Linked DNA regions of Lytechinus pictus. The protein of the gene in region 2 binds, or shares a complex with, the protein of the main gene of each other region. Links are inferred from orthologs where the notes say so. Each region holds a gene or a part of one and is shown on either strand. Other genes may lie near its edges. The genes, in order: regulator of nonsense transcripts 1-like and regulator of nonsense transcripts 2-like.

Evidence for each region.
Region 1: the proteins of regulator of nonsense transcripts 2-like (region 2) and regulator of nonsense transcripts 1-like are in contact, whole or in part, in a crystal structure (PDB 2WJV), measured with the Homo sapiens proteins. The link is inferred for Lytechinus pictus from reciprocal best matches to the Homo sapiens genes UPF2 and UPF1. Residues at the interface, in NP_056357.1 of Homo sapiens: Val1105, Cys1107, Glu1109, Asp1110, Phe1113, Ile1114, Ala1116, Leu1117, Met1120, Met1121, Asn1124, Leu1125, Arg1128, Met1169, Pro1170, Phe1171, Val1172, Met1173, Leu1174, Thr1175, Gln1181, Lys1184, Leu1186, Asn1187, Val1188, Pro1189, Ser1192, Gln1193, Leu1194, Asn1197; in NP_001284478.1 of Homo sapiens: Asn150, Thr151, Ser152, Gly153, Val157, Asn158, Leu160, Val161, Arg162, Lys164, Lys166, Pro175, Leu176, Gly177, Thr179, Tyr184, Cys188, Asn190, Val191, Phe192, Leu193, Phe196, Pro198, Asp202, Ser203, Val204, Val205, Val206, Leu207, Cys209.

Annotation. Positions count from the first base shown.
Region 1 is NC_087249.1:22,494,269-22,510,513, forward strand, and holds the start of regulator of nonsense transcripts 1-like, read right to left. Parts: upstream 6,515-16,245; 5' UTR 6,269-6,514; coding exon 6,071-6,268; intron 4,573-6,070; coding exon 4,439-4,572; intron 4,070-4,438; coding exon 3,980-4,069; intron 3,334-3,979; coding exon 3,124-3,333; intron 2,755-3,123; coding exon 2,542-2,754; intron 1,900-2,541; coding exon 1,730-1,899; intron 1,135-1,729; coding exon 1,039-1,134; intron 251-1,038; coding exon 142-250; intron 1-141. UniProt on the Homo sapiens protein: RNA-dependent helicase required for nonsense-mediated decay (NMD) of aberrant mRNAs containing premature stop codons and modulates the expression level of normal mRNAs.
Region 2 is NC_087247.1:9,484,891-9,500,738, forward strand, and holds the start of regulator of nonsense transcripts 2-like, read right to left. Parts: upstream 6,473-15,848; 5' UTR 6,089-6,472; intron 3,284-6,088; 5' UTR 3,264-3,283; coding exon 2,287-3,263; intron 1,609-2,286; coding exon 1,413-1,608; intron 1,129-1,412; coding exon 1,081-1,128; intron 783-1,080; coding exon 621-782; intron 130-620; coding exon 1-129. Other genes in the region: protein MCM10 homolog, read left to right, coding at 7,182-7,413, 8,972-9,166, 10,237-10,419, 10,979-11,348, 13,991-14,150, 15,192-15,362. UniProt on the Homo sapiens protein: Involved in nonsense-mediated decay (NMD) of mRNAs containing premature stop codons by associating with the nuclear exon junction complex (EJC).

The DNA.
Region 1 (16,245 bases), on a different chromosome or scaffold from region 2:
TCAAGAAATATACATGTATTCCTGCCATTTACGATACCCATTTATCTCAATTGGGTTGAGTGAAGCACAATGAGAGATATTGTAGGTTACCTGGAATTGAACAAAAAAAGTCAGGCATGGCCTACAATATGATGAACTCACCTGTCAAATGATGTTGACTTCCAGACAAAGTCAACCGCAAAGTTGGTGGTGAACTTGACAGGGATGTTACTGCTGCTTTTCAGTTCCACACAGATCTCATCGCTGTAGTCTGTTAGGTTGTCGTTAAAGGATTACATGGAGAAAATATTTGCCACAAACTAACTGTGACGGCACATATTTACATGGATCAAAATGTGCATCATGTGTTTCAGAACATGTTTCAATGAACTATGTCATTTAAAGAAATTTATCTAAGCATTTATGAAATGGAAAAAAATGCAATGAGATCAGCATTTTTTCCTGCCAAAATTAAAAGGTTTAAACAAATCACAATCACAGCAAAGTATTTCATGATGTGATCGACAGAATAATACAAATTCTAATAAAACCCAACAAAGTGCCTACACGTGTTTGTATTGATAAACATTACGCCCCAAATAATTCCAATACAACAGAATAAGTTGCTCAGTAATTATCATTCACCATCAGACATTTATGTAAAGTTACATGGATTAGACAGAAAGACATGTATCTATTTAGTTAATCTTGTTCTTTTCCTTGATATTGAAGTGACTCTCAACCTATTGCTTGGAATAGTTTTTCTATGTTTGTTGATTATGCCAAATCAATGATTTTTCAGTGACTAGCCAATAAACAATGCATTCTGCCATGAGACAGGCCTTTTCTCCAAGCCATGATATAACACATGCCCACATGAACCTATTCATGTTGGCTTGCATAAACTACGTCACAACTTACCATGATGATATGATAACAGACACCTTGATCTTAACACACCCTTTTTATAAATTGTTTCTTACTGCAACTACTGCACTTGCAGTTGGCTTTAATTCACTTAAAGGCCATACTTTGTTAGCAATATCAATTCAAGGATACTGTCTGGAGTCTTGACCACATGAGCTAAACCAGACCAGGGCTCTCTTGGGTCAGTGTAGCGGACCCTCAGTTCATCACCATGCATCAGCTTCAGATCTGTGTGACAAGTCAAACGTCAATTTCACATCGTCAACCCAAAAGCATTGTTTTTGCCTTTAGAATACACAATGAATCAAATTTCATAACATACTGAAAAATAGACACTTGTTCTATCAAATATCACAATCTATAAGCTTGAATTCTGTACAGGTTGAATTGGTCACATTTATGGACTCCACCTACAAGTACCAGAATCTTCACTCTGATTACTGCTGTTCTATGAAATAATATAACATCCATGTATAAGCCCTCAATTTGGTAATGTTTCAAGTGTTGTCAAGTTTGAAAGTCTATCAATATCAATTTTTTTTACCCATGTATAAGGTTTTTGTGCCATAGAAAAGCAGAACAAAAATTTGAACTTTTAACAGTTTTAAAGAACACTTTAAGAAGAGAAGTGGGAAAATATGAAAAAATTTAGTCAACAGATAATGGGGAGAAATGAGGGAAGTTGACCTTTGAAAAAAGAAAAATCTTCAAAAAATTGAACCCAAAATATATTCTTGATTACAGATACACTGAACCCTTAAGCAAAAAAAAAAAAAAAAAAAATATCAGCAAGAAAATATCGCAGAGATCAATTTTTACTAACCTTCTTTCTTGGGGAAGTTAAAAGTGGCTCTTGTTTTGCGGTTGAGACCAATATCCCAACGTACAGTGACCCCTTCTTGGGTCTGGGTCTCCTTCAGCTTCCTGTCATAATCAGCTTCCATCTTGACAAGAGGTCCAAAGATATTCTGATACATGTACGCATCCTCATACCTAAAACAGAACATAGTATAACAATCTGTTTGAAAACTTAAAAAAGATGTGCTTCCTATTAAAACATTACACCATGCTCTAATATGTTGCAAGAATAAAAACTCTAATCTGCGCAAAACTTCAGTTACTAGATAAGCCACTATGCTCTAATATTTTGCCAGACTGCAGGTCCTAAGATATGGTTTCAGGGGGAGCAGTTGTCTTGAAAACCTGCCCTAATGGAATGGTGTCCTGTGCAGAGGTGTCCACAGGCTATGGTATAAGTCTGTGCTAAAATTATGGGAAGTAAAATATGTTAAGTCTTGTTTACTGTGTTATTTGCTTGTGCTTCCATGGTGAAAAAAACTATTTTTATCATTCCCAGACAATCATTAATGCTTTGATTACCATAGTTTTTAACCTCCACTGTTTGAGATTTGTGTTGCATTGGCTACCCCTAGTTAAACCACTGTTATAGAGCAGAGGTTAATTTAATCTGGAGTGGACCCCACTTTTTAATGTGATTTGCCATTACTGTAAATACCACGGAATCCTTTATTGTGATTGGCTGCGGAACCCCGTTACCGTGGTAGTTGCCATAATGAGTTGTAACTCTTTATGAACTGGGCCCCTGCGATACAGAATGAAGGTCAGTAAGGTCACCTAAGCATGACAGAGGCAGGCTCCTCATCTACTCCTGGTTTCTCCAGGTCCTCCAGGGTGGCCTCTGGGTTCTCCTTCCACAGCTCCTCCAGGCGGTTGAGCTGAGAGGCAGAGATCTGACGTGCCCTCAGCTGCTCCTGCTCAGTAGGGATCTTGACCAGCCACTTCAAGAAGCATCGATCCTGGATTAGAGGCTGCCACTGGCTTGGATCCCTGTGGAGACAGCACACAACATAAATCAATACTGGAGACATGTGAACTGTGGATTTATCAGTATATTAATAAAAACATAGATTGGGAACTTGTATACTCTTTGTGAAATTGAAAACCAAAAACATGAACCATGAAAAGCATGAATTTAAATCAAAACATAAATCAACAAAACAAGAAGCTGAATATTTTTCAACTCTTCTACAAATATATAGAAAATGATTAGTATACAAATAAATACAGGTTGTTGCAACAATATTTCACATTACTATGAAATTTACTAGATACCCCCCCCCCTCTATGATAATGCATCTAAAAGTACAAGCAAAATGAGAAATATCTTGAAAGGTTTCTTCTTGGCGCCATTCGTACCAATTCATATCCTTCAAGTTGCTCTGAGTGGCACAGGGTTGACGGCAGAGCAGAACGACCACAGAGTCGGCCTTGGCTGGGATGAACCCTAGCAAGAAGACATTGCGGCATCCGCAGTTGTAGCATTCCAGAACGGTTTCCCCAAGTGGACTGTCCTTGTGGAGGGTCACCTCCTTGCACTTGGCTCTCACAAGATGGTTAATGATATGGCTAGATAAAATCAAATGGGACAGACAAGAACAGAATCCATGACTCGGTTTGTAAAAAAAAAAAAGAAGAGAGGTTGCAAACCAAAACTTGCCAGCAATTATTCCAGGGGATTGTGTCATGGTTCTATATTTTACAAATAACTGGTACACATGTAATCTTGCACTTATTTTTCCCAGTGTCTCAATGAAGTGGGAGAGAATATACTTTTCTTTTAACCCTAAACAATTTGTTCAAATCATAAGCATTGCAAATTCTGATCTACAAATTCACATTTTAACATTAGCTGATAGGAATTTAAAATGACTGAGAATGTTATTTAGCATCCAAGAATATGAAACAGTAAACATAAATTATGAACACCCCCCCAAAAAAATAAAAGTGGGCAGCATAAAAAAAAGACAAATCAGATTATCTGATATAAAGTTGACTTGAATTGCACCAGATACAAGATGTAGAACTTGAGCTTAGGGGTTAAGGTAAGGTACATGTGAACACATAAAGGAAATTATTCATACTGGGAAGAAAGAATGTAAATTGCAAGAAAACTGAATCCCTACATGGTAATTTCCTTTGTGAAATACAAATTAAAATAATCTGGGGGGAATTAAACTACAGGCTATAAAGTATAAAGATTTGTAGAACTTACCTGCCAGAGGTGTTTCCTCGTCCATTGCAAAACCATTTCTTGGTTCCATTGCAGAGAACAACAGCAGCAGGGTCATGAATGCCACAGTACCTGATGAAATAAAGCAAAACCAGTGATAATTCATCCATGCCCAAGTTCCTAATGAAAGTGCAACTACAAACCCTTGGCCTTAAGGGTGGTTTATATTTTCAGAACTTATACTTCCTTCAGAATTGACTGAGGGAATTATCAAAATTGTAAGATAATCGCTGAAGCCTCTGAATTTTCTTCTTCAGATAAAACCATTTTAATTTTGAATGGAATCTTGACACAAGTGATTCAATCAAAAACATGTATGTCCAATAGTGTAAATACTCAAAGCAGACTAAGTGATAACATTTTGCAGACATTGTGAAGTTATAGTACTCATAGTGGAATTGGTTCAATGATGTGTAATGAGGACTTTGTTTCAATACTTACTTGCAGGCATGGTTGGGCAAATCTTTGGAGAGCACAGTCGCATCTTCTTCATCTTCCTCAAAGGTCAATTCTTTGACCTGTTGTCCTACAGCAGCCACAGACTCATCTATCCCATTGGTTTGACTAGCATCCACCTACATTGCAACAAAAAAATATAAAAAGTTGATCAAACGATGCATGCAAAACTTTGTTGTGTACCAGTACATATGTAGAAGCCTATAAAATGTCAATGATATTGGTAGCAGAACATGGTCAAGGTTCATTTACCCTATGTGAACTTTGACCTTTATCAAGTGACCTGCGAAGTGCGAACCGTACATGTTCCATGAAATAGGTCCTTATACAATCATACTTTTCAAAGTTATGAAATATGAAGACATTTCAGAAACTTTGTTTCATTAACAACTTTAACAAAATTAACGTTATTGGTTAATAAACATGATTAAAGTTCATTGCTCTACTTCTTAATGACCTTTGATCATGATTACATGTTAGTAGACTGAAACTCATGCAATCAGTGGACCCTTACTTGCATCGGCTGATAAATATCATGAATTACGATTCATGATATTTATCGGCCGATGCAAGTATTTTTTATCTCATGATATTGTCGCCATCTATACCCGTCTTTGTAGCTAGGCAACGATAACAAAGACGGCAAGATGGCGATATACTAACAGACTGTGAGTAAACGCTGCTCCACTTTTAATATTTTCATGTAGATTCTATTTTAAGCATAATTGTACTAAAAAAACAATGATTTTTGTTCAAAAGTTGCAAACCAATATTATACTGTAGCCCATTTACAGAAGTTTGGGCTCAAAACCCTAGAAAATTAGTATTATGGAGCAACATTATTGTTGCCCAATTCATCGGTGCGTGTAGAGCAATGACATCCCCTCCCTGGCTCCATGGAGATTCAGCACGTCAGTGATATGACATTCATCTCCAGGCACCCAAGGGTTCATTACACGCCGCCGCGCACAGAAAAATCAAGCCATAGAAGTCGTGTGTTGTGGACCCAAGAAGTGAGATCCCAGCACGCGTGACCCACTAGTTAGAAATCCACTGCCAAATGCGGTTCGTGGTGCGAGGTTAGTATACTAATAATAATACTAACCTCGCAATACGTGTGAGTGATCTCCAGGAGCCTCCTCGCTACATTGGATGGCAAAATTACTAAACTGTCATTCATGCACAGTACTTAGCTGCAACAGAACCAGAGCACTCACACGTAATGCGAGGTTAGTAAGTATTAGTATTAGTAATAGTAGACTATACTAACCAGAGAACATGATTAAACAAAGTTTATTTGAATTTAAAGTCGTTTGGAAATTCTCGACTTTAGCTTTATTTAGTTAATTTATTACTACTAAATATTAGGTCCTAGTAGTACTAGACTCTAACGTTAGATCTAGTCTAGAGTACTAGACTACTCTAAGTTAGGCCTCTAGATAGTAGATTTCCAATTCTAGATCTCTCTTGATGACGTTGACCATGTTGTCATTGTTGACGGAGTCATTAAGGCAGCGATCAACGTCCCAACGACGGTCGACTCGAGGCCGAGGTGATGCCATAGCCCATCATGCCATGAATGACAATGACAACTTTGTTGAAGGTTAGTGATATTACCTGACTCTGAGATTGTGAAGCCAAATCCAACTGGGATGCTTGGCTTTGAGAAGCTTGTGTCTGTGAAGGCAATGTAAAATCCCCCACATTGTAGTCAAAGTCTGTGCCTTGTGTGTCGGCTCCCAGCAGGTCATGTTCTTCCGCATCCAAAAACGTGAGCAAGCTCTGCGAGCTGGGTCCGTAGGCATCTACGCTCATTTTCTCTCCGTTCTCCTTTGTATCAACAATTCAATCAAAGTACAATGAACACATATGGTACGAATGAGACTGCCTCTTTAAATTAATTAATGTAAAATGACTATTCAGCCGTAATATTTTAGATTTCACAGTCCGGTACCAGCATCAAAATCCAGGTAGGCAAAAGGATCTCCACGGTGTCTGTCGCAATGCAATTCCATATACCAAACGCGCGCGCGCACTGGACAGGTACAGTATTTGATTTGCATGCATTTATACACAGAAAATTATAGAAACCAAACGTGTACTTGAAAATGCGTGATGATTTGCGCGCGAGCAACGCAACTTGGCATTTTTAGCCTCAATCAAGTCCATTATTGAAAATAGTGCATTCCTTTGATGAAATAAACAGACGTCTTAAATAATATATATATACTGTAATATATCATCATATAAGGTGTAGGCAGATTCTATATGAACGGTTATGGACTCGTGTTATACAAAAAATAGGTTTATTTTTAAGGATATTGGTTTTAAATATGTACATAAAATTCACATGAGTAAGCACATGACACGTGAATTCTCGCGATCACATACACTTATTATTATGTACATATTTAAAACCAATATCCTTAAAAATAAACCTATTTTTTGTATAATACGAGTCCATAACCGTTCATATAGAATCTGCCTACACATATATAATGATATTCTTTAAGACGTCTTTTTATAGATTTTCATAAGGCGGCTGCCAATTCTTATTGACTTCAACGACTTAAATTACGACATAACTTAGCCTATACTTAAGTTGCAGTAACCTTCTTCTGTGTATACATAGAAGAAGGCCCCAAAAATGACTGAAAGCTTGTGAATAAACTTGATGAACTGAACCCCGGCTACGTTTGATTGCTTTATTCTCGCTGTATCTACATAATTATAGCATCCTCTCAAATATATACTAGAAAGCACCTCGCAATGTATAGGTCCCTGCTCTTCACAATTATATATATATATATATCATATATGCATATTTATGTATAATTCATAACGATGTTAAATTTCTAATATAATGATTAAAAGTTGATCAATGTTTTTTTTCTCTAAACGAGCAGCTGTAAATTAATTAACTTAACCAAGTGCATAATAAATATAGGTTGATTTCAATCTCGCTTTTACTGTCTACACATTTTATCTTGCGAAAAAACTGTTAACTATTATCTCCGCAGATCCTGCCTGCTACTAAATAGGTTCATTATTGCGGATTGAAATAATCGCTAGAGGGTATTCATTTGTCTCGCAATCTACTACCAATATGGTCAACAAGGAAATATTTTCGTCACTTGATAAAGAGTTGCAGCGGCACTCAAAGCTCGTGAACTTGTAAGCTAGTGAACACTTTTTGCGAGAGTGATCACGAATTTCCTAGAAAGCTAGTGAACACTTTTTGCGAGAGTGATCACGAATTTCCTTGTTGACCATAGTAGATTGCGAGACAAATGAATACCCTATAGCGATTATTATCATTATTCTTTTTTTATTATTATTATTATTACAGATGATGTGAGACAAGACTAATTCATCTTCCATGGGCTAGTTGAATGACTGATTGATGAGCTTGGAATGCCTTCATTTGCTCGTGTTATAGATTGTAGATTATGTTTTTAATTTCAGCCCGAATTGAGAGGAAAAACCCAACCACAGTCCCATACACTAGGACCTATACCTCATCATCATCCTATAGACAGAGAAAAGCATTTTCGAAACTTGGACTAAATATTTGCTCGCCAGCATTTCTCTTTAGCGCCAGCTATAGGCTCGGTATTCTGCATTGTATATTTGTTTTGCTAAATCTTATAGTAGACTTGTTAACTGCAAAAAAAGGGTGAACGCTGCATTTTTTAGTACAAATGTGTGCCTCTTGGCATGTATATTCCTTGAACCCATTGGAAAATTTTTATTCAAAGAGACACTCTGTATCTATGCAAATTAACCCTAATTTGCATAAATTATGTAAATTAGCCTCTAAAATGAGTAATTTACTAAAAATGTAAAGCTACTTCATAGAAATGTCAAATTTGATGCAAAGCCTGTGTGGAGGTAGCAAAAGAAAACTAATAAAAAAAAATGCGGTAACCATACATTTCATTACCTAATTTGCATAAATTATACACATTTTCAATAAAAAGTGCCTCTTTTTCAAATGATTCTGGATAATCTAATTTGAATAAAAGTATCAATAAATGTGGTATGTAAATAATAAATCGAGAAATGTGTCTTAGGGTTTGGGAAAGACATTGAACAAACAAACTTTTTGAAATATGCAAATAATCCCTAATTACCATAATTCATGCATAAAGCTGCAAAATGCTCTGAACATTAGAAAAACCGCATTAATAATAAAACATGTCTTACTCGGGACAATCTTATGATGATGAAAGGAAAAGAAACTATACATCATAAAACTGTATCTTTGTAATATTCAATATTTGCGTTAAATTCATTTGTTTGTGATATTCAGTGCATAATTTGCATAAATTATTCAAATTAGTACTGTATGAAGCTTTTGTGTGATTTTGAATGATTTAAACTTAATAAATAATGATATATGTGTTAAAAAGGGTTGTTATAAAGTATTCGGGCACAAGGAATTAACTACATCTATGCAAATGACCACTTATTACCATAAATACATACTAATGAGTTTACTTATACTAATTCCATGAATAGTGTAAAACACTTCAATTACCAAAAATTAGGCATTTTATTCAAATGGCAGTACTAACGTTCTATGGATGGAGGAAAAGAAAACATTTATCCATCAATATTGTCGTCTAATTTGCATAAATTATGTATGAATTATGCATAAATTGTCATACATTATGCAAATTCGAATATAAATGGCTAATTTTCGCAGTTTATATCTGATTCCCAATTATCATTGTGGCACAATGAAAACTAACGTTCATTATGACATGAAAGAGAAAAGTAAATACAGATAGAACAGTTTGTTGGGTATATAACTACGCAACTTTTCATATTATGCTAATCACAGTTGATATAATTATATAGTTCCAGACAATATTATTTAATTGCTTGTATAAACTAAATTGATTCTCTTCTAACATATACATAGGGGTTATATTTACAAAAGTTGGTCCCACAGTTAAGAAACTTTTAGAGTTTTAGAGTTCACGGTCTAAAACTTTTAAATGCTGCCACAGTTAGCAAAACAAGTTTTTATATTTATGAAACCTCCTCTGCTCTTGGTAAAATTAGAGAAAGACGGAAAAGGGCATTATTGCAGTTTTTGTACTTAATTTTATTCTGGTTTCTGTTAATGCGTATTTTGAGCCGTTTTAGTCAAATGAATTACCTACATACGATGTCATTTATAGGGAACTCTGCACTTCAAACATTTTCTTATTTATGCTTATTATTTTGTATTATGTAACATTATATTCTGTCAATTTATTTCTTGTTATGTATGGAGAAAAGTAAAACATTGCTTTGCATTTTACATGCAATGACGTTCTGGTATCCAAAGCCTAACCCCATTGGGAGCCTCTAGAAGGTACTCCCCACCCCTTTCTCAATATCAAGAGTTATATAATTTTTATTCGAAATTATCGCTATCATTTCCACTAATCTTTTGACAGAGGACTAAAGGTTGCATTAAAAGACGTCCTGGTACATTGAAGCCTGTACCATATACTATTTCTTGTTGCTTGTCAAAGTAGCCCCATCACTTTCCTTTGACTATATAAGTCTATTTTAAGTATCCTTTTAATAACGCCCCTTCTGTGAAAGGGGCGCTTTTTCTGAATATTAAATCAGCTTATATTTTCATCAACGTCCTAAGAAGATAAAGGAGGCATAAAGATTGAATGAAGAGAAATCCTGACAAATTACAGCCTATCCCCATCGAAACCTATATATAAGAAGTTACACGACTAATTATCTTATTGATTACATTTCTGCAAATTCTGCTACACTGTAAAACCACTTCAATACTCATTGTTCTCTTGGATAAGAAATAGAAGACCCTACTCTAGTGGTTACATTAGCATTTGGAACATCAAAGCATTTCCCAATGGGAGCCCCCATGGCATTTCTAGTACACGAGCACACATTGTTCGTAACATAGACATATTCTTTCAATTAGATGGGTATTGGTACATTTTCCACTATCTTCTTGTAATGTAATACTAAATATGAGGTTCCATTGGAAAATGTGCTTTTACTATACATAAGCTAGCCATGGTAACTATTAAAAAGTAAGAGGAATGCTTTTGGCCCCAAAGGGGATTTAAAAAGTGTAGTATGGAAAGGAGTGGGGAACCATGAAGGTACGCTCTGTACCATGAATTTTCTACATGCTACCTGTGAAATGATGCCTCCTATATTTATCTATAATATGTAATATAATATGTAGAATTGTGGGGGGGGGGGGGTACTTCGACAGGCACACGATGTTGGATATGTTTCAATGTGCCGGATTTTCTCTACCTGTAACTTGCAGACAGGCAGAGTGTCCCCTCTATGTTTTTAAAAATCAATTAAAAAAAAATGGAAGTGACTTTTCCATGTAGAAAAAAATGACGGTTGTCCCAATTGAGAGTTCCAAAAGGACGCTGGTTCAAACATAGAGTCAAATTCGGAATGAGATGTAATACTTTCGACAGGCAGGCTCCTTTGTAGAATAGGATGTAATTAACTTATAACATGAAATCGACAGAGCAACGCCACCTCTATCTATTAAACAGAGGTTCGATAAAACTAAAATTTGCTTTATTAGGTGTTAAAGATGCCTTTTTGCCACCGTGGGGGCTACAAAAAACATGAAATATTTCAATATAGTCAAAGTATAGAAAGAGATGGGGAACTAGCTCCCTTAGAAGTAGGCTTTAATTTGCCAGAATTTCTTATTTTCATATAGCCTGTGCACTAGAACAATGCCTCCTCCAAGGCACTGTGAACGATTTTAACAGGGGGTGCTGATGTAAATTTGAAAAGCAAAAAAGGTTCAATGTAAAATTTTGGTCCCAAGAAATTTAACAAGCAAATAAACAAAAAGGAATGCACTACAAAATGAAGGTTATTTTGGTAACGTTTTTTTTTCGTTTTGTCACATCTGCCGGAATTCCAGGGGGTGCTGTCTATGGAGGATAATACACGCAGCAACCCCCCCCCCCGAAAATCTTGCGGGTGCTTCAGCCCCCGCTTCCCAGGGCCAGGGCCTCTATATAATGTAGATGCTGCCTTTAATAAGTGCCCTTTTCAAGATGAGGGCTTCATTTAGACGATATTCTAAATATATATTGTCAAAACAAAATAAAGGGTTGGGCAACTTCGACAGGCCACCGTCATCATGGTCATGTACACGAACTTATTTTATGCGATATAAAACAATGCCTTCTATGTTGTTTTTTCCAAGAGGAGAATGTAAAGCGGCTTTACTGTGTAGTAGAAATGCATCTTTCTTCCGACTGGGCTCTAAAAATATTTAAATTCAACATAGAGTGGAATCAATAAAGGGGTTTCAGCAGTTAAGAGTTTACGTGTGGCTGTTCTTCAATGTACCACAGCTCCTCTACATGTCACTTGTAGAGTATTTTCTCCTTAATCTATTCCAAGATATCAATACAAACAAAAATAATCTTTTGAGAGTTCTAAAGACAATAAATTATTTTTTGATACATAAAACCAAAAGGGAAGGGGTATCCTAGGCATGCTCCTGTTGGGTTATAGCCTTTACTATAATAATAATAAATATTAATATAAAAATATGAATATAAAAGTTGCTTTATTATACCAAAAAACGCCATTTGCCTTGCCGGTGGATCTAAAACACGATATTTTTTTATTTAGTGTCGAAATATGGAGGGGATGGGGTAAATTCGGAGGGCTCCCGTTGGCGTAGGCTGAAATAAACCAAAAACTTTCTTCAGGAAACATGTTGACTGATGTCTCATACATCTGTCTTTTCCAAGTCGATAATACAAGTCAAACTGGTTTTGTAAAGTAGCAGGAATGCCGGGGGAATGCAGTTTTGCCACTTCGGGGTCTCCAAAAGATAGATATTTTAATACAGTTAAAATATGGATTGAGCTGGGGGTACATTCGTCATGATACATTTTTGAAGTGCCAGAGCTTCATTAAAGCAGTAACCTGCAAAGAAATGTCTCCTGTAAATTTTCCAAGAGAAACAAATTAGAAACAAATAAAACAAATGGTGTTTTACCGATACCGAAATGCATTTTGCCCGTATATACCATAGATTAAGATTACGGTGTGGCAGACACACCAACAAAAGCGATACGAGAAGCCGATGCAAGCTATTGTGTTAGGATTGTGTTATCTCAAATGACATACCATTGATCGCTTTATTGTCGGATTCGTTAGTGTGACTGGATATAGAGGTTTGTTTTGGTCTCGTTTTAGCGCAATATCACGTAATACATTTTGACATATTTTCCCTCTTTCTAAGCAAATTAAGACACTAATACTGTCATGGAGCATATCGATGTTTTCGCTAATATATTCTCTTTCATGCAGAATGTTGATATTGTGCATTAATTGCTGTTATTTATAAAAACAGTTCAGGATTCATGAAAAAATACTCTGTTTTAAATCATAATTTGCATAATTCATGTAAATTAGGTAATAATAAACAAGGATATCCCAATCATTTTATGACAATTTACTTCCCTTTCTTACCCTTAGTCTTTATTTCCAATTTTAGGGCAGTTCTGGTTAAATATATATTCTTAAATACCTGTTTTCACTATATCGACATAATATGTAAATTTATGCAAATTACTTGCTTATTTGCATAGATACAGCGTGTCTCTTTGGATGAATCTTTTTCTTTTGACTCAAGGAACATTTGTGCCAAGTGGGACATTTGTACTAAAAAATGCAGCGTTCAACCTCTTAACAAGTCTACTATTATGCATGATGACCAAAACGATTCGAATGAGTCAATCATTGGATGTGTGATGGGAAAGGGTTCCAAGCTAATTTATCGAAGTCCAACTCGGTGAAACTATTTAGAATGGTGTATTTAAATCAATAAAGTCCCACCGCATAAGCGCACCCTTTCGGCAAAACCGGGGGGGGGGGGGCTTTGGTATATAGAAGGGTTGGATTCCTCTTAACGCCATGAACGCGACGCACCCTCACCCACCCTTTCGTTACAAGAGTATTTACCCCCTAGATAAAAATTATTACCATCACTTCAATCTAATCGTATCCAGCTTATTTTCTTATACATTTGTACCGAATAAAAAAGAAAATGCAATTTGGCGTTTCCGAGTCATCGTACAGGCCTGCATTATCTTACGGGAACACCCACACGATAAGGAGATATTTAAAAGTCACATCACGGCGGAAGTTGGACAAATAAAATCTTTCACGCGTTCTTAGTTAGGTGTCCAATTTGCGACGGGAAATGAGAGGCATATTAGGGTTTGAATGAATATTTCATGACATTCGTCGGCCATATCTTGTTTAACCGAAACCCCAAATGAAGCGATCGTTAATACAAAAAGGTCGGTTCCTAGAACTATCCTTTCGATGGTAAGGAACTTCTATAACTTTCACTTTGCATAAATCGATAAGTTGCTGGGGACGAGACCCGTTGCAAATGCTAATTGAAACCAGAATGCTTGTATTTTTCCTCAGCCAAAGAATGTTTATATGTATGGAGAAGTATATAGGTGATGCAATGGAAAGATCGCATTTTTCACTGTTTGGTGGACGATAGGACGGGTTTTTTTTTTTCCCGAATGCTCTTGGTTATTTTTCATGGTTTTTAATGAAAATTATGAAATTGTCCTGGTGTTGGCGTACACATATATTGCTAAGATTATTATTTCAACGTGAAGAAATAATACTAAATTCCCCATCACATGTAAAAAAGTACTGGTACAACAATGTCCAAAACAGTATCAATTTCCCAATGTACCTAATATAAAGTGATATTAATATAATTGTGTAAAGTCTACTCCACTGGGATGCTGAGTTTGAAAAACATTTGAAAATTTCATCAAAATCGGATTATATATAAGGTTTTCATGACTTTTCGACATTTGCATATTTCACGAAACAATGATATACACATCATTGGTTGAAGTATGAAAATAAGGGAGTCGAGGAAGACACACTCTCAAAATACACATCTTATTTTGTTATTTGATATGTAAAATATTAAATTTTCCTCCAATAATCTAAAAATTGGTTCATCACAAACAATGTACAATGATTGTTATTGTAAGCATAATTTATTATGAATCAGTGAAGTACGGAGCCTTTAAAGTGCCATCGACTTGACTTGGCGAGATACTTTATCTTGCCATGTCGACATAATAACCTTACTATGTCGGCATGGCGAGATACGTTATCTAGCCAAGTCGACTTATAAAAAGTTATATGTCGACATGGCGCGATACGTTATCTTGCCAAGTCGACTTATAGAACATGATATGTCGACATGGCGAGATATGAAGTGTCCGAGGCCCGGCGAGAGTCCAAATATCTCGCCAAGTTGACATATAACTTTTTACAAGTCGACTTGGCGAGATAACGTATCTCGCCATGTCGACATAATAAGGTTATTATGTCGACATGGCAAGATAAAGTACCTTATCTTGCCATGTCGTCAAGTCGATGGCACTTTAAAGGCTCCTTAGTGAAGAATTTCTTTATCGTTAAAGCTATAAAATGTAACTATATGAGATATCACAAAATAAGAACGAAATATTGAATGTGTGACATCCTCGTCTCTCTCATAATTTCTGTTGCCTAATTCTTTTTTTACAGTAAACGTAACTAAAAAATGCAATACCTTTCTTATTTCATAATCGATTTTAATGTTATTTAGGTGGAATTGATATTTCTAACTAATTCACTCGTCAGAAATTAAATTTATCAAAATTCGCCGTTGGGTTATAACAATATAGTAACAAATATGTTTTATTATGATTGATATATAAACATTTTTGTAAATTTATCAGGAGAAAAAGAATAGGAGACTTAAAAAAAAAGTTATCTATAATATTAATTTGTAAATTGTATATCTTTTCCTGATAGCCCTAGCCAATTTATTTGACAATGAAGCAAAATACACGGAAAACTATTCACGTTAACAATCTTAAGGATATGCACCTCTCAGACTGTAAAAAGTATTGTGTAAAATTTTAACCAGCACCAGGGTAATTATGTGTCCAACCAATTTGGGGCAGTATTTTACCCAATAAGGAAGCATATTGTCCAGTAAGGTTAAAAAATAAGCAGCAATTACTTTAGAATGGGCAAAATTTTCACCACACTGGATAAATAAAAATGCCCAAAAAGAAATGCCCAATGTTGGTTGGACAAATAATTACCCACATGGAGCACTTTTACCCAATATTTTTTAGAGTGCAAAGACATCCCCATTCACAAAAACCAAGTGCACAATAAAATGTAGGTATACCGACCATGCTTTTAACATTGTTAAAATAATTATATAGGCCTAGAGAAATATAAAATTCTTCACTCAAAAGTGCCACGCTGGAAATATACACTAACCCACAAGCGTACTCACCCACCCCGCATACACATTGCACACATCCCATCCTCTTATACATATACACACACACCCTCACACACATACACACCCTCACCCACACACACTTGTAAACGAAGACATAGAAACGTCTATCTATTATCTCTCATCCAGAGACCTTCACCTACAAATTAATGTCATTATTTATTTAGATAACAGCAAACCGCTTAAGCAACAAAATGCTTGTTTTGATGTGGCCACAAGTACCCTCTCGAATAATGCTCTTCATATTTCATCTGCTAAGATCACGGTTATTATCGCTCTCTCATAACGACGACAGAACATTTTTGAGAAAAGCACCATCTCAGATAAATGCTTAATACGCTCTCTTAAAAAAAAATAAGGAGCGAAATGCATACGCTCCCAAGCAGATCTGAAGTCTGCACTTCCG
Region 2 (15,848 bases):
AGAGGCAATGTCAGACATCTTGAGCTTGGCTTCGCTGAAGGCTATGGCAGCCTCTCCGACATACTTGGTCAGGTTGAGCCCCTGGAATTCCTTGGTCAGGGAATCTTTCTGCTGCTCACTCAAAGTTTTCTGGAAGGAAAAAAATATTAAACTTTCATACTTTTAAAACTTGTACTCCCAATCTAGAGTAATTCTGTGTCAGCACTTGGTTGGTTAGCGATTACCCAAGTACGATAAACATTGAAACAACAATATGTTAGATTCAGAGTCATATATCTTTAAGCAGGTGCATGGCTATTCACAAACAGTTTGTGAATATTTCATCAATTATTCCATAGGGGCACTCAGTAATGGTGCATACCACTTCCATGTTCGGCTTAATAAACCAATCTACAGCCACAATATCTGTAGATATCCCCCAGATGGGGGTATCAACAGGGCTACTTACCAACTATGCCCAAGTCAGTTTGTATCATATTAGAAAAAGAAACAGTTCTATAACGTTTCCATGAAATCCCTATAACTGCAACTCAGTGAATGCAAATGAGAAAAGAGAAAAATGAAAGCACCTTCAGAATCATTTCACATCCCCAAAGGGAAAATTGAGATGAAATCCTTACCAGTTTTCGAATAAATGCAGTGTTTTTCTTGAGACTGGAGTCTAGCTTGACAAAGGAATCTTCATCAGGTCTCTCAGAAGCTGCAGAAAGATTCTTTGCTCTAAGAGCCATTTTAGCCTGCTTCCTCTCCAGTGCCTCGGCATGAGTATCCCTTGCATGTTTCTAAAAAAAAAAATATGTGAAGAAAATGAATAAGGTAGAAATATTACTCCGAAAAATAATTACACATTTATTTTTCATATGAAAATAATGCTTTATGTCATTGTAATTTTATAGAAATGAATATTAAATTCCAGTTCAAATTTGTATTATCCACTTATGAACTGCATAAATAAACACAATTAATATCTCCAATCATAACAAAGCAAATTAAACAAAATTTGTATTTTACAAAAAAAAAATGAGATCAATGAAATAAACACAAATTGCAGAAAAAAAGTCAATCAAATAATTATCTCACCTCTTCTTCCTCCTCTCTCTTCTTTGCATTTTCTTCATCCAGACGTTTCTGTATTGGAAAAGGAAAGAGTATACACACATCAACGGGTTATAAATGTTCACTGAACTAGAAAGTACGAAGAACTTTTTTTTTTCCTTTCAAATACTTTGTAGATTATCCATAACATATATTCTTAAGAAAACAATATCTGGATAAATTATTTCTATCATTTCAAGAATAAACCAACTTTCAAGGAATTAAGAAAGTGGTTGGTGAGTATTGTTTTTGAAGTATTAACTTTAGCCAACCTTCAATGAATGTGAGAGGACACTATCAGTTTTCACTGCCATTACCTGCTCTTCGGCTTGCCTCTTTTTCTCCTCTTCCCTTTTCACTTTATCTTCTGCTTTCTTCATTTCTTCCTGTATCTTTCTGGCTTCATCTTCCTTCTTTCTTTTTTCCTCATCTTCCTTCATCCTCTCCTCCCTCCCCCTTGATTTGTGATGATCTTCTTCTCGTCTTCTTGATCCTCTGGAATCAGTTTCTCTTCTGCAAAATTTACAAAGAGGGCATTAACATGAAAATAAACTACAGCCTTGGTGGTTTCATAATAGTTCTACAAGGTACTACACAGAAAGCATAAAGAAAGAAATACTAAATTGAATGGAATCATACAAACTGGAAAACCTGGAATTACTAAAAAGTGCATTTAGAAGGTAATGGGAAAGGGAAAGTGAAACAAAGATATGTCATGTGTGTGGTCTCTCATTAAATGTGTTATAAAAACATAGTCTTAAAATATATGCTTTCCAGATATCTACTATACTACAGAGAATAAATTGACCAATAATCGTATTTGTATAGAGAAACTAAAATGTTTTGAGAGGAAAAGTAATTGTTTTGCTACTTGGTAACATAATTATTGCAGTATAAATGTATTAAGTACGGTAGTTAATTAGCATGTTATCATTCAAGTGGGTCTATATTGCTAGACTAGACTAGCATTATGGGTCAGGAAACTGGCTAGGTATGAGTAGTTGAGGACTCGAGATGGCGATATTGGTTGGTATCTGCTTTAAACAAAGATTAGACTATGATATCTATTGTACTACCATGAAGAATAACAAAAATTGTTCAATTAAGCTTTCACGACAGTACTGCCAACTGATCCCCTGAAGGCAAATTTGGATAACTTTCTTTCAAAGAGGAAAGTTCCTGTCAACTCACCTTCTTTCAGAAGATGTTTTGTCTTTATAAGGGTCTCCTCTTGGCTTATCTCTGTCCCTGGCTCTCTGGTTACCTCTTTCACTCCTAACATCACTTTCTTTCCCTCTCCTATGTCCAGTCTGCCCTCCCTTCTTATCATCATATCCACTTTTCCCATCAGAAGCCTTCACTTCAGCAGAAACCTTCCCATACTTTTTCGGTTCCTCTTCTACCTTCTTGCCAGTTCTGCTGCCAGAACGTTGGGCAGAGTAGGACTTTCCTCCGCGTTCTTTATTGGGTGGGTCAGTTTCTGCATTGCCTTGACCACCAGTGACTTTCCCTGGTCTGTCCTCAGCTGATTTCTTAGGCTTATCTTCACTTTGCTTATTTTCTTTGACAATGGTTGTGTCAGCTGCCAAAGATTTCTGTTCTGCCTTAGCAACCCCATCAGACTTTGTATCCCCTTTACTGTACTGTGCTTCAGATTTGCACTGCTTATCATCAACTACAGTGTCACCTCCTTTCTCTTCTTTACGTAAAGTAGCATTTTCTTTGTCGCATTCTATTGAAATTTCTTTTGAAACTTTTGGCATAGGTATTGGAATGGGAGCAATGGTTTCCTTATCTGACTTGTCCGACTGAGAGTCACTGCCTTTATTCATATCCTTCACACCATCATCGTGCGCTTGCTCTTCACAATCCTTGGATGCAGTAACAGCATCTTTCCCGTCATCCACAGCTACAGAAGAGTCCTCAATGGTCTTTGCATCGCTTGATACTTGGTCATTCCCCGCTCCGATCTGTTCTGGTTCAGTATCCTTTTCCTTAGGGCTGGTGTCTGTATTGCAATCTTCTGTGACCAACTGAGGCTTTTCATTCGCTGAACTATTCAGATTTGGAGTTTCATCTCCATGATCGTTAGTCTGGTTTCCATCCAGTGCCCTGTCCTCTGATTGTTCTTCTTTCACAGCAGCCACCTCTTCTTTCAGCAGATCCATTATTCTTTCATATATTCATCCTGGAACAAACAGAATAATGAAAGTACCTGTTAATACAACTGCAGAGCAAAGAAGAGCAAACATGTCTGATGTTTAGTAAGAAAAGGAGTTTACAGTATGGTGATAAGTAATAACTCCATTCTTCCCACCAATTTTGTTATACAAGACAAATAAAAACAGCATTTACAGATTAAAAGTATATCCTGCCTTCCAAGAATCAACCAGTAATTCATGGCCAATATCGATTACAATTTTATAAGACGATTAAAAACTCATCCCATCAAGGTGTCATCCATAAAATGAGAGTTGTTTTGTTTACTTTCTAGGACTGTCTTCATATCAAGTTTGATAACAAGTCTGTAGGCTGTGGGGTGATAAATCTGACAAAAGAGATGGTGAGCTAGGGGTACAGATCTATTTATCTCAATCTACATCACAGGCATGAGCCTTTAGCTTAACCTAAGCTACACAAGGAAGTTACAACTTGATGCAGAGTTACAACTTGATGCAGAGGTCCAAGGTTCTACAAAGAAGAGGTATAATGCATTTAGAACACTTCTTTCTGCCATTGATTGCTCTTGGTCGAGTGGTAAAAGGCGTCAAGTAAGAACTCTTAAAGCTGTACTGTCAGACTGGTAAGGGTTCGAATCTCACCCTGTTTGATGATTAATTGTATCAATTTTTTCAGTTGTAAATAGAAATAGCATTTATTCTGTTGAAAATAGACTTGACAACTGTAAATTTTGGCAAAAAACAAGAAAATTGACTAAATATTCATTTGGTCTAGCTGATTAAATGGCAGCTGGGCATAGAGCCATACAATGTACAGTAGGCCCTAATCACTCCTAGTACCAATGAGGTCAATACATAACAGTATTGACCTCATAGGTGACAATAGTGCATATACAAATTGGTGCATGCAACCACAGTAAACACACTGATGACGACAAGGCTTGTAGCGGGGTGAGCTGTCTAGTGATTTTATTATTTTTTTCTTTTCTAAATTTAATTATGAACTTTTGAGTGAAATTAGTTATTGCATATTGCAGAGTAGATATCACAAATTTATCTAAGGTAAAAATTTTGAATAAATATCTGTGGAGTTTGGGTATGTGCCGCGGAGGGGACCCCCATTTTTACACTCAAATTTCCGTTCCAAGGCATAGCATTTTTATCTTAGTGAGAAAAAGAACAAAGAAAGCCGCTCCAAAGCAAAACATTTTCTTCTTATCGAGAAAAAAAGAATAGAGAAATCCGTTCCAAAGCTTCGCATAATTTTCGTTACGCCGTTCCGGCCGCATTGATCTGCTACAATGAGCTGCAATTTTGGTGAAAAGCAGCCGCAGAGCGCTTTCCGACCATCGCCTCTGCGAGAGCGCACCCGGTGGCTGGGCAAGCTGCATGCGCGTATGCCCGTTCCATAGAGATGCATACGCACTCACACGCAGGCGACCCGTTCCAAGGACCCCCGTTTTCACAAACATTTGTTGCTCCGAAGCCCGTTCCGAGGACCCTCCTTTTTACAATAAGCCCGCTCCAAGGCCCCCGTTTTTTGTTTCGACCGCGGCACATACTTACCACTTTTTTGGTCGAGTACCCCCACCCCCCCCCCCCCCCCCCGGATGGTTTTGGGAAGCGCATTCCACGCAGTCACTGTCCTGGGAAAATAGGACCAGTGTGTGTGTGTGTGTGTATTTGAGTTTTGTCAGACGTGTATCAATCAGATATGATTATTTACGTCTGGGACCGACCTTTAACGTCACCATCCGAAAGACGTGACCAGGGCTCGAACCTCGAACCTCTGCATCAATTTGTAACTTCCCCACAGCTTGGATTACAGGCGCACGCCACAACGCCCAGTGCTGTATTACCAGTGGTAGATTTATGGTGGCTGGGCCCCTTTGCAAAATATTTGTGAAACAAAGGAATTGCAGAAATCTAACAAGCTTAAAAGCCTTAAAAAAAAAAGACTTAAGTTATGGTAACGATTTCAAAATGAGTTCGTACAGAATCCAATGAAACGACCACCAAAGTGTCTGTTTGTATAAATAAAACATATGTGCCAAAGCCAAGGATTCTGGAAGAAATTGTATAATTGCTGAGAAATTAGCAAATAAGCTTGGGATTCGGGTCAAGCGTCGGGCCGACATTCAAAGCAATAATAATACACTGTCCCACGTGCACTTATTATCTGTGTTGGTGATCTTCAGTGTGAACATTTTTCAGCGTAGATTTCAAGATTTCACAAAGTTCAGTTAATGTAACTGTACCAGATCTAGGTCCTCGATGATAAAGTGACAATTAAGCCTGGTTTTACTGACTTTTTCGTGAAATCAGTGTTTACTGCAACTACTTTCATTTATCTTTAAAAAAATTTAGCTAATTTTTAGGCTAATAATAAAGTTTTTAAAAAGTCATGAATATTTTTTCAAAATGCAAACTTCCTAACAACATTACTCATTAGACCCTAACCTGTAAACCATGGCATGGGCAGCTTAATCATGCAGATCTATAGTCTTGCAGCAATCAGCAAGTTATCTCTGACCATAATGGATGAAAATGGAATAGAAAACATTTACAAAACATTTCACAACAAACGCAATGTCAATGAGACAGAGAAGGCAATCACATCCAACCACACAAAAATTGATATACACGGGACTACACTGGCAAATAAACATTTAAACTTTACTCTATCAGAGTATTTCCATTATTTACAACAATCTCTAAATATAAGTCAGTCGGAATTGGATTGGTATTAAAGTTATTTTGGGGTACCTTCAATAATATAAATTAGTTATAAGGAGTCAAATTTCAGATCTTACGAGTATTGTTGAGGCGGAATCAGCGATCAATCCAAAGGTCAAAAGGCTTTTCCACACATCCGGTCGGCCGGCTGGATCGGCGCGCGCAAAACAAAACTGTGTTGTTTCTGTTGTTTGATGATTGAAATTTACCGCGACTGGAATCCCTACTGACAATTTCTTGCTGTATCAAATTCAAAGAGTCAAAGTCATTTCTCAAATTATTATCGCAGACTACCACATGCAGATGTACTCCCATGAGCGGAGGAGGAAGTAATAACAAGACTTAAGTTGAAGTTCAGTTGAACTTGTCTCAGACTCAGGCCAGGGCGCGAGGGACAACGCGAGCTCCCTCCTCTCGATCGCGCCGCGCCTGTCGGGCCCGGTCCGGTCCTACATTAGTACATACATGTACACCTGACATGGTCCTGGGTCGTCATTTCACCCCGGGTACAAACTGATCAAGCTCAACGAATCATTGGCCGCACCGCAGTACTATAAAGCAAGGTAGATCTACTAATACATAACTATGACTTTTATCATTAAGTTGATCCTAGGAAATTGTTATCAACTTAAAGTTAAATAATTTAATCAAGCAATTAAATTTAAGCCAACGTTGGCAACAAATCTCACTCAGCAAAATTTAGTTAAGATTTGAATTTAACTTTTAAGAATGTTCGTTGGACGTTACTTAACAATAACATGCTTAACGTTACTTAACAGGCTTAACGTTAGATCTAAGCAATATTATTTAGACTTAGGCTAGACTTAGAGAACAAAATTGAAGAAAATTGCAACTAGCTAGTCTATCAGCTATCAATCATGCCATGGAAATTTGAATTCATATATTTTTTTGTAGATCTTTAACAGTTAGGCCTAGATCTAATAGTAATACAAATTAAGACAAAAAAAGGAGGCTTTAAAGTTTTAAAGTGTCCAGACACCTCACCCCCACCCCCATTCTACTAAACTAGTCGTTTTGATCTTTATCACTACGTAAACTTAAAGACATTACGACTTGAGACTATTTCAATTTGCATGCCGATGGAAGACAGTACAATTGCCATTGCAAGATAACACATTTTTTAAAACTCAATCACATGTTTTGATAGCAATGGCAGGTGAGGATTATGGAGACGACCTTGATGCTCTCACTTCACTCCTTGATGACGAAGATGATGCGGATCCATATGATAGCGGTGATCCTTTCTCAGTAAAGAGCGAACACTCGCAGCAAGTGTCACAAGCAGTCAAGAAGCAAGGTACCAGTCATGAAAGGAAAAAAAGATCCGTTGGATCCAGTCAGAGCAGTGGGGATGATGAAAAGTCAAAAGAAGAGTTGATAGGTAGGCCTGCTTGTTCTTTTTTTATTAATGTTTAAGCATTCTAAGAGATTATAATTATAATAATATATAAATAATATAGGATTTGTGTAGTGCACGTATCCACCTTGCTAGGTGCTCAAGGCGCTCCTATATTCCCCGGACAATCTAGTCTACCGATTCTGGTGCGCACAGCTTTGTGAGGAATTACTTCCTGCCGGCACCCATTTACCTCACCTGGGTCGAGTGCAGCACAGTGTGGATAAATTTCTTGCTGAAAGAAAACACGCCATGGCTGGGATTCGAACTCACTGTTTGAAAGGCGAGAGTCAGAACCACTAGACCACGACGCGCCCACTTATGAGGGGAGTATTAAAAAGCTCTCCTAAAACTTTTAAGGGGAGCACTGCAAAAAGCTCTTCTTTGACATACAAATGGAGCTGTTTTGTCCGATTACAAAATGGATGGAGGAATGAACACTAAATTGCAACCAACAACCAAAGGAGATAGAAAAAATCAGATGCCCTTATATGCTTTTCACACTGCATTTCCTTAATCCCATACTATCCTTAACCCCATACTATCTTTTTTTCGATTCACACTGTCTTTCTTAACCCCATACTATCTGCTTAGCCGGGGCTAATGCCTTAACCCGGACTATCCCTCAGCTCATGAATATTGATGATTTTACCATACAGAGCGTGATTAACGTGCAATTCGACTTCTGTGATTGGCTAATGCTTAGCCCCACTTTCCTTAGCCCTGTTTTGTTTTCACACTGCATCTCTTAGCACCGCAATTGTGGTGCTAGCACCACAATAAGCCGGCTAATCCTGCTTTTTTGCAGGGCCAGATAGTACCATACTATTTACCGTGCTAGCCCACTTTGCTAAAACGTAGTGTGAAAACGAAGTGGGCTAAGCTTAACCCCAGGAAATTGGTGGGGCTAAGACCCCCCCTTAGCCCCACCAATTTCCCAGGGTCAAGGAAAAAAGTGCAGTGTGAAAAGCATATTAATATATATACAATATTTATCTCATTTCAAGTGTGTGTTATTGCTTAAATATACTTGTGTAATTGTGTCTTATTTGTAAAACCTTGACTGAGAATAAGGTTGGCACTAACAGTTCAATCATTGACTGACACTCGTTCTACATTCAGGTTAAGTGATGTCAGAATAGAGATTATACATGGAAGTAAAATGTTGTATACATAATACAAAGTGTACATGTGTGATTTTGCTTGATTTCTAGTTTTACTGCATTTATAATTTTATGTCACAAAAATACATTTCGCTTAGGCGAGCGATAAATCGCGCTACCTGAAATGGATGGAGGCGAGTGGTAGCGAGTGATCACTCTCGCTCCCCTTAAAACTGAGTCCCTGCATTCTGTGAGGGAAAATCTGTATTTTTATATGCATGATTGTTTATTTTTTTTTTAAATAGTATTTCTGACTTTCTGTAGAGTTGGTATTTGAAACTTTGCTGATACATGTTGCTGAAACTTTCCACTCTCTCTGTCTCTCTCCTTTAACATCATGGCATGGTATAATTCTTTGCGCCTGTTGATTTACTCTACAGAGGAACTGCAAAGGTTGCGAGAGCAGATGGTTCAGATGAACGGAGGTACCCCCACTTCATCACAGAGTAGCTGTCCAACCAAGCCTTGTCCTAAAAAAGAAACCTTTTCAAATGCACTCTTTGCTGACCGAACACCAAAGCGAAAGCAAAAGAAAGATTCTTCGATTCCAGCCAAGAAGGAATCTCACAATATAAGTAAGTCTCATGTAGCAGTGCCTCAGTTTTTTCTGCAGTCATTTCAGTTTCCACTTAATTAATGAGTTCAGGTTGCAAACTTTATTAAGTGCAGTAAAATACTTAGAAGTGTGGATTAGGTGTGTTATGTAGTCTACAGAACTGCAAGTTTAACCCTTGGTAGTTTACCAGCCACCAGCACATTGGTTTATCATACTTTGTCCATGAAAATTTCTTTTGGGCCCACTTCAGAAAGAGCTTAATTATAGTAATTTTGCCTTAATAGTAACTACCATGGAAAACTTGATTTTGATTGGTTGATGATCTCTTTTTCTATCTTTGCCATTCTTAAATTGTTTTCTGCCTATGAAAACAAATTGTACAGTGCGTCTCGCAAAAAAGGAAACCTGTTTTCAGAGATAGATTTCACAATTATTAAACATGTTTTTAGTTTACTATGAATTTGATACTTATGTTAAGAGTGGAATCTCATCTTTAATGTAAGACCCACAGCTTGGCACATCATTCATGCATGTTAGATTACAAACAATAAATATTGAGGCCTATCAGAAACGATTTGTGCAGAAACTCACGAGTTAATCTGAATCCACTCTTATTTCAGGGATCAGTCAGAGAAACTGAACAAAGAATACAAAAGAAATGCTAATTAGCCAATCGTTGAATAAGCACCGTGTCGTATCATGAACCAATCTTGTCCAAACTTTCTGCGCAACTTGATTTTGGCATTAAAATTTCAAACTCGTCTTGCTCATTACTGCATGGAGTGTTTGTCACATAGTAGGTATTAATATGTAGCGGAATAATTGAATTGTATGATGATGTAAATGAAATATCATAATTAATTTGCCTTTGAAGAAAAAAGATGTTGGAAACCCGGTTTCCTTTTTTCTGGGACGCACTGTATACTGGTAATTGCAATTTGTTTAAAAGGACTTTCAAACGAACTGTTCCAGATTAACAATCTGCTTTTCTATAGTGGAACTTGATGGAGAATAAATGATTTAGTGAACAGTTGTATATCAGATGCTCATATAATTATCTTCATCAATATTTCTTCTTCTTTTTTGTAGATTATGAAGATTTTGATAACGAAGACGGACTGTCAGACTTGTTTGATGATGAGATGGAGGTTGAAGATGAAGAGAAGAAAGATGTCCGCAAAGTGACGCCACAAAAGGCCGAGTCCCTCTTCAAGAAGACCAATAAACGTCATGCTCACACCCCTCAGACTGCAACAGCTCCTCCTAAGAAAGGTTTGTATTTCATTAACCAACCTTGTATCCAAACTTAGTCTAGTCTGTTATTTTCTTAACTAAAACTCAGAAAAGTTAAAGTTAATAGCATATCTCTTGTATGATATTCAAATATGTCAAAAGTTCAGCAGCTTTTCATGATTAGTTTATAACCAGAAGTATGCATGTCACAGTTCTTCAGATGCCTTATTATATACTGGCTAATACTGCTAAAGTGTCTCAAATTTTTTTTTTTTAATGAAGTCTCATCAGTATTCAGTTTATCTTATACCTTATCACTTTTATGTATAATATTGACAATGAAAATATATTGATCATGATGATATTAAATATAACCATAAGAAATGTATATTGTCCACATTGCTTCTCTCAAAATCAGTCAATAACATCATACTTAGATCCAAATATCATGCCCTCTTGTTCAAAGCAATTGCAGCATTTCCTTAGAATGGTATGCCTGTAGTCATAGTCCTGCCTAGTCATGATCTCTGACTTTTACTGTAAGATTACTTACCTTACCCCTTACTAATCTCTTCATCTCTCTGTCTTTCATTTACAGTGTCTCCTTATAAGTGCAATTTATGTGACCAAACCTTTGACAACCGACAAGCCATGACGGTGCATGAATTCAAGCACAAAGTAAGCCGATACAGCTGTGAAGTCTGTCAGAAGAGCTTCACAAGCAAACTCCAACTGGAAACTCATTTCAGGACTCATAAGACCTCTGAACCCAAGTCCCAGTCCAGTCCGCCAGAGCCAAGTAGTAAGGCTAGATGTGGTGATGGGGCTATTGGTGGTGTGAGTAAAGGCAGCAGCGGGGATGGAGGATCGCAGAAGACGATGCCACATCTTGGAGCGGGATCAAAGCGGAAGCAAATCAAAGAGGAGGAACAGTGCGAGACAGAATACTTCTCAAGGATTCGCATCATGTAAGTTGTCATTTTTTACAGAGTACCGAAGTGATGACATCACAAAAAACTTTTTTTGCATTTCAACGTTTTTGATACCATATTTTGGTAGAGCATGATGAAAACCCCCCACTACCAAAATTTGGTGGGAATCGGTCCATGGGGGCCTTAGATATGACCTTATGAATACATAATTAGCCCGATTGAAGTCAGTGTATTATTGGCCTGGTTCTAAATGTTAGGAACCAGGGGGACGTTGCAGAAACAGTTGCATTTAAACGCAAGTAAAAAAAAATCAATCGCAAGTCCCAAATACGCACTGATGATTGGTTGAAAATCAAGTTGCACATGATTATTAGAGTTGCGATTGATTGCAACTCTTTCTGCAACCAACCCCTGGCCAATAATACGTTGACTTTAATGGGGCTAATTATGTATTCGTGAGGTCATATCTTGGGGCCCCATGGACCGATTCCCCCAAATTTGGGTTGTGGGGTTTTTTCATCTCTACCAAAATATGGTATCAAAAACGCTGATATGCAAAAAGTGAAAATTGATGACGTCACACTTCGGTACTCTATTACCATTTGACCTGTGGCCATTTATATGATCTTCTAACAAATGTATACAGTATTGGTAAACTCTTTCTTTCAATTTTATTTTACTGTTACAAGAAGTAATTTGCTGGATTAGAAGGATTTCGCGTCTTTACACTGGTACTAAGTGTACCTTAGGATGAAAAAAAAATCTCAAAATCCATTTCTCACATATCAGCAAATTATATTTGTACAAGGAGTATGATCAAATGTAATTCAATAACACTTCAGATAATTTTATACAATTTATAAATGCAAGATATCCATTTTCTTGAAACAGTCATAACTCATAAGTCCAAGACCATGTATATTCCATGCAAACAGGATTTCGTTTGTATGGGATGTTCATTAACTCTAATGAGAGTCAAGAATCAGGCCTTAGGATTAAAGGATAAAACATTTTTTTAAACTTTCCTGTAGACATTAACTTAGTTTTTTAAATGGAATAAAGACCTAGAAGTCATTTTGGAATAAGAACCAACAATATAACTTATAATACTAAATAGGTTCATTATTGCGGAATGAAATAATCGCTAGAGGGTATTCATTTGTCTCGCAATCTACTATGGTCAACAAGGAAATTCATGATCACTCTCGCAAAAAGTGTTCACTAGCTTTCTAGGAAATTCGTTATCACTCTCGCAAAAAGTGTTCACTAGCTTTCAAGTTCACGAGCTTTCGAGTGCCGCTGCAACTCTTTATCAAGTGACGAAAATTATCTGATACGGTAGTCTATTTATACCAATCCCCAGGACTGTACGCAGTTGCGTAACTACGGGGGGGCATGGGGGGGCACGTGCCCCCCCAATCGGCTGACCAAAAAAAAAAAAAAAAAAAAACGGGGAAAAGGAGAAAAAGAGGGAGAAAGGAAGAGAAACGTAGTGGGAAAAAAAACATTATTGTTCATTATAATGTTATATTATTTCATAATAATATGTTATGTTATATTACATAAGAAACATTTTTCATAACTTAATGAAACATAATTTGCTCAGGGCCTATGTTTTCATTGCTCCTGATGCTCGCATTGTCTGTTTACCGAGATATATAACCCTGATAAAAACTAAAACCTCCCGTTTTCAAGTCAATATATACCAAACTGCCAAATATATTTCCTCGCACTTCGAGTTATTGTTTTATGTACAATAGTATGCTTCTTTTTCATGACTAAAGTGATTGCCCCATTTTAAGGTCTTAATATAAAACATTTCCTGTCCGTGCTTACGTTAGCAGTAGCGGATTGGTGAAATATGTCTGCTCTCAATGAATTCCTAGAATCAGTCCTTAAAATGTTCCTTTTTCTGATCTGAATATCAAAAATTTTCACCTCGCGCTCGCACCGTTTGGTTAGTGAACTACGTATGGTCTTCGTGAATTCCTACAAACAAGCCTTAAAATGCCCTTCTTCAGGTCTGAATTTCCTAAATTTTCAGCTCGCGCTTCGCGCTCGCAAGATTTGATTAGTGAGATGGGTATGATGTTAATCATGATTACAAGTGCTTTATGTGCATATGTTTAGATGTAATTCTAACAAAATCAGCAAGCGCTTATTGGCACTCGCATTAGATGACTATGGTGAGATGTGTATACTCTTAACGGATTCCTAAAATATAGTCCTTAAAATCTTCCTGTTTGGGGTCAATATTTACAAAAATTTCAGCTCGCGCTTCGCGCTCGCATTATTTAGCGAGACAGGTACATATCATGATTACAAAAGAATTTTATAATGTCCTTTTTTAGGTCTGAATATCAAAAATTTTAAGCTCGCGCTTTGCGCTCGCATTATTTGACCAGTGAGATACATATCCGTTTAATGGCACTGTCCTTAAAACGTCTCTATTAGGTCAGTATACCTGGCAACTGGGCGCGCTGCGCTCACTAAGTGACTCAAAATTTTTGCTCGTGCCCCCCCAATGCCGTGACCCACGGTACGCCACTGACCGTACGCACGAAAGCGGGAACAATAGGTGGGCACTGATCCGTTATATAACTTATATTTGTATCTTTTTCAATTTGTAGGATGTATTGTTAATGGTATTTCTGTTCTATATTGTTTGATTTATGTAGAAATCCTCTGGTATCTTCAGCTGTGATGAAAGAGAGGATGAAGGAACGTAAGATGATTAGAATGAGCATTTTAAATCACTACTCCAAGACAGGAGCACTGGAAGGAGACTGGGTGACGATGGGTGTTCTTCTACGAAAGACATTAAGAACAGATACAAAGGTACAGCTTGGCCCGTCTTACAAATCAATCGCAACTCTATGGAAATCCATCAGTGTCATAATTTTTTCTACAGGAAATTTGCCAAATGTCCTTTGTAAACAAAGGCGAACACACCAAATTTTCAAGAAAACGATGAATGTATGATTATGCATCTTATCTAGAAACAAATTTGGAATGAATATGCATTTTAGATGTGGTCATTTCTGGCTTTCCATAGTTGCAATAGATCGGATCAATCGCAACTCTCTGTAAGACGGGCCCCAGGAGTAATTTCATGTTCTTTAGTGATTCAGAACTGCTGGTGTAAATTGAAGAAACCTGGGGTCCCTCTTACAAAGCCTTGCAATTGATCCGATCAAACACATCTATGGACGGCCAGCAACGTCAACATCTAAAATAATGCAAATTTGATCAAAATATTTTCTAGATATGATGTGTCTTCATACATCAATCATTCTCTTGAAGATTCAGTGTGATTCTCTTTGTTTACTAAATAGATTGTGCAAATTTCCTGTAGAAAAAATTATGACATGATGGATTTCCATATACTTGAGATTGATCGAATAAATCTTAACTCTTTGGTGATGAGTGGAAAGGAAATTTGGCATACATTTCTATATTTCTAAACTTGAAGATGTCTGTTTGTTGATGTGTGCTTTATCAATGGACACAATTTATAAGTTTTTAGTAGTATGAAGGTTTTGATGAGAATTATGTTGTGAACTGAAAGGATAATGCAATGGGACATTTGAAATGAATAATCTGACCTTCTGGTACAAATTCACTGTAACGGTTAAATTGTAGCCACGCAACTTTGAATTCATAACTTCTTTAAGTCACTTACACCAAAAGTGTCTGGTGTATCCATGAATTGATCCATTTTGATTTTATATGTTTTAATGTTTAGATTTAACAATACATCGAAATGAAAATTTATGACATTTACCACAATATATTTCTTGCATATTATCGTTTGGTTTGCATTGGCATTGCCTCTGAGATACTCGTTATGACTGGTAAATTGTATTTTTTGCTTCCTAGGGTAAACCATTTAGCATCTGGGTGTTGAATGACCTTTCTGACCTGGAAGAGAATGTAAGCCTCTTCCTGTTTGGTAAGATTCATGAGGAGCACTGGAAGACCGTTGAAGGGTCGGTGATTGGACTCCTCAATGCCTGTACCATGGAAAAGAGGGACAATTCAAACTACAAGGTATGGAAGTGCATGGTTATTTTCTTTGTGATAATAAAAGGAAAACATTTTTTATCACATGTCACCATGTCTCTGTATGCTTCAAAGCAAAAAAAATATGCATTGTTTGGTTCTCTTTGTTTAATTGATGAATATTTTTGATGAGTTTTAGCCAATGATTTCTAAATCAGGGAATAATTTTCCTGGTATCGCATCGCAATTTGCTCCACATTTTTGTATAAAGACTTTTGTATAGCATATTTTTACATAGGACTGTACATTTCTAAGTTGAGAGCTTTTCTCTTATGGCCAACAATGCTGTTCAAATTTGTAAAGCTAAATTATACCCTGTAAATTAAACAGAGGTCAGGTTTTTTTTTGGTCATTTGTCATAGTATTGAGACTCCTAAAGATTAAAGATAAATACCAGTTGTGATAACGATCTCAAAATTAGTTCAAACAGAATCAAATGAAATTACCACCAAAGTGTTTGTATGTATTAGTAAA